2 linked regions of the Cricetulus griseus genome follow. The protein of the gene in region 1 purifies or fractionates together with the protein of each later gene. This does not show direct contact. Links are inferred from orthologs where the notes say so. Each region holds a gene or a part of one and is shown on either strand. Other genes may lie near its edges.

Region 1 (3,760 bases):
AGAATTTTGCAAGTTCAAGCCTAGCCTGGGAAGTTTGGGAACACATTGTCTCAACATAGAAAGTAAAAAGAGGGCTACTGAGACGGCTCATTAAGCTAAGCTCTTGTGCAAGCCTGATGACCCAGGTTCCCACACTTGTCTGGCATGTGTGAGGTCCTGGGTTAGACCCACACACTAATCTAGCAGGTGTGAAGTCCTGGGTTAGACCCACACACTAGTGTATGTGAGGTCCTGGATTAGACCCCCACACAAGTCTAGCATGTGTGAGGTCCTAGGTTAGATCCCCAATGCCAAAAAGGGAAAGGAAAATAAAGATACAATCTCTTGGCTTTTTCTCGAGATTGACTTTGTTCTCTTGGGAAGATGTGACTGGAATGGGTGACAGAAGCACAGGTCATCTGTGACATGCAATAAACTATTGTAAAAGGACAGCAAGCAAGAGAAAAAACATTTTGATATTATGCTAGAAAAAAAAACAACAAAAACCTGCGATAAACAAAAGAGCAAATTTTAAAATCGAGTAGGAGCTGGCCTTGCCAGATGTGTGGATCCTGCTTACATCATCCTGATTTTGACTCTGGTTCCAATACAAGTTTATTTAAAAGCCGTGTAGCCGCCTATGGGCCAGTGTTTGTGCTGTTGGTGTTTGCATCCCTATCTATCAGGTGGGTGTGGTGGTACAGGTCTACAGTCCCAGTACTCAGGGGGCTGATGCTTGAGAACCCCAAGTTCAAGGTCAGCCTGAGCCGATTAGTGAGACCCTGTCTCAAAGAGGATTCAATTTTTTTGTCTCCTTGTTATGGGGAAGTGGTTACACCCCTTGCTTCTGATGCCTCCTGCCTTTTGGTCTTTTTTTGTCACTTGGAATAGCAATGTAGACACAAGAGATACTTTATTTCTCTGCTCCACACTTCCATAGCAGATGTTAACAATGTAGACACAAGAGCTGAACAGCCGCAGCTAGGGAAGAGAGCAGGGGGTGTGAGAAACAGGCAGGCAGGCTTTCCCTTCACCACAAAGCTGGTGAAAGCCAGGTGGGAAGTTGGCTGACTGGGGTGTGTGTGTGTGATCCTCCCAACTGAAATCTCCCAGGGCTAGAGAGATGGTAAGAGTGTTTATTGTGCAAGCATGAACTAGGCATTGGGGTGACTGTGACCCCAATGCAACAAGAAGGAGAACTGCTGTAGCTTGTTGGCTGACAGACTAGCTCCAGGCTCAGTGAGAGACCCTGGCTCAGTAGAAGGTGACGTGACAGAGCAGGACAGCCTCTGAATGCACACACCTGCACATATGCCACACCCACATCCGCTGTCCCCCCACAAATACGCCATCTCTCAGTTCATAACCATTGGCAAATACCACAGAAGCATTTAAAAAGATCCCCTGATGCAACATTACCCACAATGCTGCTGCTTGAAAGCTCTGACAGCCTCAGGAGGTCCAGATGCTGGAAGACGCAGTTGCTTTGGACAAGGAGTGGGAGCATCTGCCAGTGGCTCCACTCAAGTCTGTCTCTGCAGGTGTGCAGTCCCGGACGCGAGCCCTGCTGGTCATTCCCATTGTGATGGCCGTCCTCATCACCATCTTCATAGCGGTGTCTTTCTGTATCAGTGAGTGCCCCTGTGAGGGAAGAGGGGGAGGACTCAGGGATGCAGAACCAGCCCTCCCAAAGCCTCACCCCTTCTTTTTCTCTCTAGAAAAGGTGGTCAAGGAACCAGAGGATAATAAGGTAAGCTGGAAAGAGTGACTGGTGGGCAGGTTGGGAGACTCATGCGTGGCACAGGGAGACAGATGACTACTCAGTGGGCAAAGTGCTTGCTACACAAGCCCAGGAACCTGAATTTAGACCCAATACCCACGAAAAAAAGCCTGTAACGTCAGGGCTGGCAGGGGACGTGGACATGCAGAGCTTGCTAGCCAGCCAGTCTAGCTGACACAAGGTACTCCAGGTTCTGAAAGAAACCCTGACTTAGCAAATAAGGTTGAGAGTGACATCGACCTCTGGTCTCCATGGGTGCATGTACATACGTCCAACACCACACTCCTTATGTATATGTACACACATGTGCTCGTGAGCGTGCTCGAGCACACACACACACAGAGGGAGAGAGAGACAGAGACAGAGACAGAGAGACAGAGAGAGATGGATGGGTGGGTGGGTGGAAGGGAACAGGCTCAGTGTCTGTCCCTGGGGCCAGTAAGGTGACAGTCGGCTACTCTTACCCCTACCCTGCCCTGAATCACGGTCTTCATTCCGTCCTCTAACTAATCACTTCCCCACTGGGAGGAGCCAGGCACCATTGGCAGAACAACCCTGCCCATGCTTTCCTTTGGCTTGGAACATAGGGAAGTCCAGCCTTTAGAGGCCAGAAGGTGGAACCAGAGGGGCAGCTTCTTCTGCTGGCTGACTCTGACTCTGGAAGTTTCCTGCCAAATTTCATGTGTCCAGCAGGGGGCAGGAGGTATCTGAGAAATCAGCTTTGATTATCACCCCCCCCCCAAGGGGAAGGGACTTGGAGGAAGGATTCTACTCCTCAGGGACAGGGTGGCTCTATGCCTAGAGGTGACCTTGGCTCTCACACCCTGGCTCTCCAGGCCTCACTCCCTGCTGTTGAAACGGGAGATCCTACGGAGACAGAAGATTGTCTTGGCCACAACACTGCTCCAGTGCAGGAGACATTGGTTGGGAGTCAGCCTGTGGCACAGGAGGACGGCAAGGAGAGCCGCATAGCAGTGCAGGAGAGACAACTGATGGACAGCATGGACTTGAAGCACCTGGTCTGAGATCTTGGAACTGTTGCAGTGGTGATGGCACGAGGGCAAGGGCCTGGCTCGGATGGCGGCTGACATTTGAGATTCGAAAGGAACAAAAACTGCCGCGCCTGCCCAGCTGCCATCCCTTGTCTTGCTTTTAAAGATGGAGGAAAAGCTTGGGCATCAGGGATCCAGAGAGTGCAGCAATACAGGACCCAGAGATGTATCCTGGTGGCTTTCACTATCAGGAGTCATGGACACCACAGTCTATGGCTTTGTGGCTTGTACTGTTAGAAGACACCTGATTGCCCATCAGCAGGGGACTGGCTAAATAAATCTGTAATGTATTTATACAACAGGATCTCAGAAATACTATCAACTGAAACAAACAAAAACAGGTAGTGGAATGGTGGGTAGAGAAACAACCTTTAAAAACACATACCCAGGCAAGTAAGATAGCTTTTGTGGGTAAATTGCTAGCCACCTGATTTTTATCCCTGGGACTACATGGTAAAAGGAGACAACCAAATCCAGAGGATTGACATTTGACCTCCACAGGCACTCTGTGGTCCATGTTCATGCATGCATGAGTGTGTATGTGCATACCCCAAGATGGGAATGGTGGTTCATGCCTGTAATACTAGCACTCAGGAGGAAGAGGCAGGAGAACCAGGAGTTCCAGGCCAGCCTGGAATACATAGTGAATTGAAGGCTAGCCTGACCTACATGATACCGTCTCAAAAACAAACATTAACTGGGTGGTGGTGACACATGCCTTTAATCCTAGCATTAGGGACTCAGAGACTGGTAGATCTCTGAGTTTCGAGGCCATCCTGGTCTACAGAGTGAGTTCCAGGACAGCCAGGGCTACACAGAAACCCTGTCTTAAAAAAAATGAAAAACAAAACAAAAAACCACTAAAGAACAACAGCTTCTCCCAACATCCAAAACAAAGCACCTGAAGCTGTCACATACCCTTCCTTAAACCGTATTTAAGCAGGCTGCA
Region 2 (3,819 bases), on another chromosome or scaffold:
AAAGGAGCCTAGCTCGAGCTGGCTTTTACTATACAGGTGTCAACGACAAGGTCAAGTGCTTCTGCTGCGGCCTGATGCTGGACAACTGGAAACAAGGCGACAGTCCTGTGGAAAAGCACAGGCAGCTGTACCCCAGCTGCAGCTTTGTTCACACCCTGCTTTCTGCTAATCTGCAGTCTCCATCCAAGAACACAGCTCCTGTGAGAAGTGGGCTTGCACATTCGTTACCTATTCCAGAACGAGCGGGTACTCACTCCAACTTGTCCTCAAATCCTCTCAATTCTAGAGCAGTGGAAGACTTGTCATCAAGGACCAATCCCTGCAGCTATGCCATGATTACTGAAGAGGCCAGATTTCTTACTTACAGTATGTGGCCATTAAGCTTTCTGTCACCAGCTGAGCTGGCCAGAGCCGGCTTCTACTATGTGGGACCTGGAGACAGGGTGGCCTGCTTTGCGTGTGGTGGAAAACTGAGCAACTGGGAACCGAAGGATGACGCTATGTCAGAGCATCGGAGACATTTTCCCAACTGTCCATTTCTGGAAAATTCTTCAGAAACGCAGAGGTTTAGTATATCAAATCTGAGTATGCAGACACATACTGCTCGAATGAGGACGTTTCTGTGCTGGCCGTCCAGTGTTCCTGTTCAGCCTGAGCAGCTTGCAAGTGCTGGATTTTACTATGTGGGTAAGATGTTAACAGAGACTAGAACTTTCTCTTTTTTGTTTATGGGAATATACATGAGTCAGTTTCTCATCTTCTTTTCTTGTTTAGATCGCAATGATGATGTCAAATGCTTTTGTTGTGATGGTGGCTTGAGGTGTTGGGAATCTGGAGATGACCCCTGGGTAGAACATGCCAAATGGTTTCCAAGGTAATTGGTTCTTTGATTGTTTTTGTTGAGACAGGGTCTTTCTGTGTAGCCCTGGCTGTTCTGAAACTAGCTCAGGCTGGCCTGGAACTCAACAGCAATCTGCCTGCCTCTGCCTCCTGAGTGCTGGGATTAAAGGCATGTGCCACCGATGCCCGGCTATCCCTAACCTCTTAATTTTTATTATTGCTTAAAATAAATTTAGGGGCACAGTTGTTAGTGAAATAGAATTAGAAATTGTATATTTGTAACCAATTAACTATGTGAACTTGGACATAATTTCTAAAATAAATGGGCTGTTAGGAGTTTTTATCATGATAAAATATACATAAAAATATACCAATTTAGCCTTCTAAAATGTATTCTTGTGCAGCATAAAGTGCATGTGTACTGTTTTACAGTCATGTTCAGAGCCTTTTCATCTTCTCACTCTGAAACTCTGTATCCCATACACTTGAAAGCATCCCCCCCACCCCTGGCAACCAGCCTTTTACTTGCTATATCTGAATTTTTTACTTTAGGTACCACATGTAAGTGGAATCATACAATGAAGAAAGTTTGGACTTGTGCATGCCTTCCATAATAATGATAAATCTGTTGGACCTCCTTCAGGAAATTACAGGGACCTTTGGTCATTTTTGTGTGATATATGATGAAAAGGAATTTGGAAGTAGAAATGTTTATAGTGGATCAATCCATTGTATATGATGGGGTAGGGAGTGCACCCATGCCCACACGCCTTTAATCTCAGCACTTAGGTGGAAGAGGCATGTAATCTCTGTGAGCAGAGGCCAGACTGGTCTACATAGCAAGTTCAGGTCAGCTCAGGTTGAGGCAGAAGGAGTCTGAGGTCAAGGTTAACTTGGGCTACATTGTGAGCCCCAGACCAACTCAGCTAGTTGGCCAGACCCGATCTGGAAAAAAACAGTAAGCAAAAAAAAAATTCTTATCCAAGGAAAATAAAGCACAATTTGCTAGTGGAGGTCATAGGACAACTCTTCTTTCACCATGTGGGTTCTGTGAATGGAATGCAGGTCGTCAGGCTTGGTGGCAGGCATTTCTGAAGGCACCCAGAGTTTGTTTCAAGGGTTCTCTTAATGCAACAAATTTGACAAGTGATTTCATAATGTTGTAGGTCTTATTGGAGGTTGATCTTTAAGAACATGTTTGAAAAAAAGCAACATTTCTCCATAGTAATGCTAGTATGAATTTAGTCTTCACTGTTGAAAATGTCAGAATTTTAAATGACAACCATACTTGTGGGCTTATATGTTGTAACTTGAAATTTAACTTATATATAAAAGACAAAAACGTTCTAAATTCTAACATTTGAATTGCTATACTTTGTAAAACAAAATTCTTCACCCTGTTTTAAATGCCAAGGGAGAAGACAGGAATGGTTTTTGTCAGTGCAGCTCAGAACAGGTTTCAGCTGTGACTGTTTGCTCTCAGCAAAGACAGACTAACAGATGGTCATTATCACTAGGTTTTAGTATATATAGTTCACTCATTTGTCAGATTCAGGTGTGCTGCGCTCTGAGGGCAGTCAGGACTGCTATACTACATGTCTTTAACCATTCTGCTGATTGGTTTCTGTCATTGACACACTGGTCACCTGGGAAGAGGGACCTCAGCTGAGGATTGCCTCCCTCACATCTTAAAGCAGTCTGCTATGAAAACTGATGATTTCAGCTGCACAGAAACTGCCTCTGTCTTCCCAGCATACCATGGCTTTGGTGTCACTATATCCTTCTAAGTTTATTTATTGTTTATCTTCTTTCTTTCTTTCTTTCTTTCTTTCTTTCTTTCTTTCTTTCTTTCTTTCTTTCTTTTTTTGGTTTTTCGAGACAGGGTTTCTCTGTGTAGCTTTGGAGCCTATCCTGGCACTTGGTCTGGAGACCAGGCTGGCCTCGAACTCACAGAGATCCTCCTGCCTCTGCCTCCTGAGTGCTGGGATTAAAGGCGTGGGCCACCAACGCCTGGCCTATTGTTTATTTTTCATATGATAATTGTAGCTACAGTTATTTCTAATACTGTTTTTATTAGGATAGTTGTCACTATAGTTGTAGCTATAGTTATTTCTAACACTGCCTTTATTTAATAGGACAGTTATAACTACAATTGTAGTTACAGTTGTTTTTAGCACTGTGATGGACTGGGGTAGTACTGAAGGTTGATTCTGGGCTTTGTGCATTGTAGATAGGCACTTTACCTGAGTCCCAGTGTTTGTTTTTTTTTTTACCTTTATGATAGAGTTGAATTATTTACACTCTGCATTACAATGTGGAGAAGTCTGAAGATGATTATGTATTTGTCTTCACCTGTAAATTTTGTACTTTCCTGTGCTCTCAAGAATTGCTCTTTGTATTCTTTCATTATAGCTTGTGTATCTGTCTTGTTCTCTTGAAACTCACCACACTCCCTGAAGATGAATATTACTTGCTTATCTGACAGCAGTTTGTAAACACCTTTCTCTTCCTTCTTTTGAATTGGTTCTTGGAAAATTTTTGTCTCCCTTTGTTGTTAGAGTTTTTGTTTTATTTATTTGTTAGTTACTTGTAATCCTGCTTCTTAGATTTTGTGTTGAGCAAAGACCTTTAACTGTGGGTGGGTGTGAGGGTTTGGGCTTGTCAGGGGTATGGCAGGCCCAGACTCCTTGGGAAGTGCAGTTTCATAGTCTCCATGGAGCTTCTGTTAGCTGAAATCCTTGTTAGTGAAGGTTTTAGAGATTCTCAGTGTCTGGGCAGCATCAAAGCTTATGATCTTTCCTGTCATGGGAAACACCCTGGCCAATGGGACCCCTGTTATACCTGTTCTGGCTTGTGAGTGTTCTCACAATGAAGGGGACGGTAGCACTGGTGTTACCTGGTTTGTCTTGATGATTGAGAGCCTGAAGAGCAGTCACAGAGCCATCTGTGTGAGTGTGTGGAGAGAGCACTGACTGCTGC

Evidence for each region.
Region 2: the proteins of Cd40 (region 1) and Birc2 purify together in Homo sapiens (affinity purification with western blotting; 4 studies listed by BioGRID and IntAct, with this or other methods). This does not show direct contact. The link is inferred for Cricetulus griseus from reciprocal best matches to the Homo sapiens genes CD40 and BIRC2.

Annotation. Positions count from the first base shown.
Region 1 is NC_048599.1:14,351,220-14,354,979, reverse strand, and holds the end of Cd40 (tumor necrosis factor receptor superfamily member 5), read left to right. Parts: intron 1-1,520; coding exon 1,521-1,610; intron 1,611-1,697; coding exon 1,698-1,729; intron 1,730-2,595; coding exon 2,596-2,784; 3' UTR 2,785-2,967; downstream 2,968-3,760.
Region 2 is NC_048597.1:122,214,189-122,218,007, reverse strand, and holds part of Birc2 (baculoviral IAP repeat-containing protein 2), read left to right. Parts: coding exon 1-687; intron 688-774; coding exon 775-874; intron 875-3,819. UniProt on the Homo sapiens protein: Multi-functional protein which regulates not only caspases and apoptosis, but also modulates inflammatory signaling and immunity, mitogenic kinase signaling, and cell proliferation, as well as cell invasion and metastasis.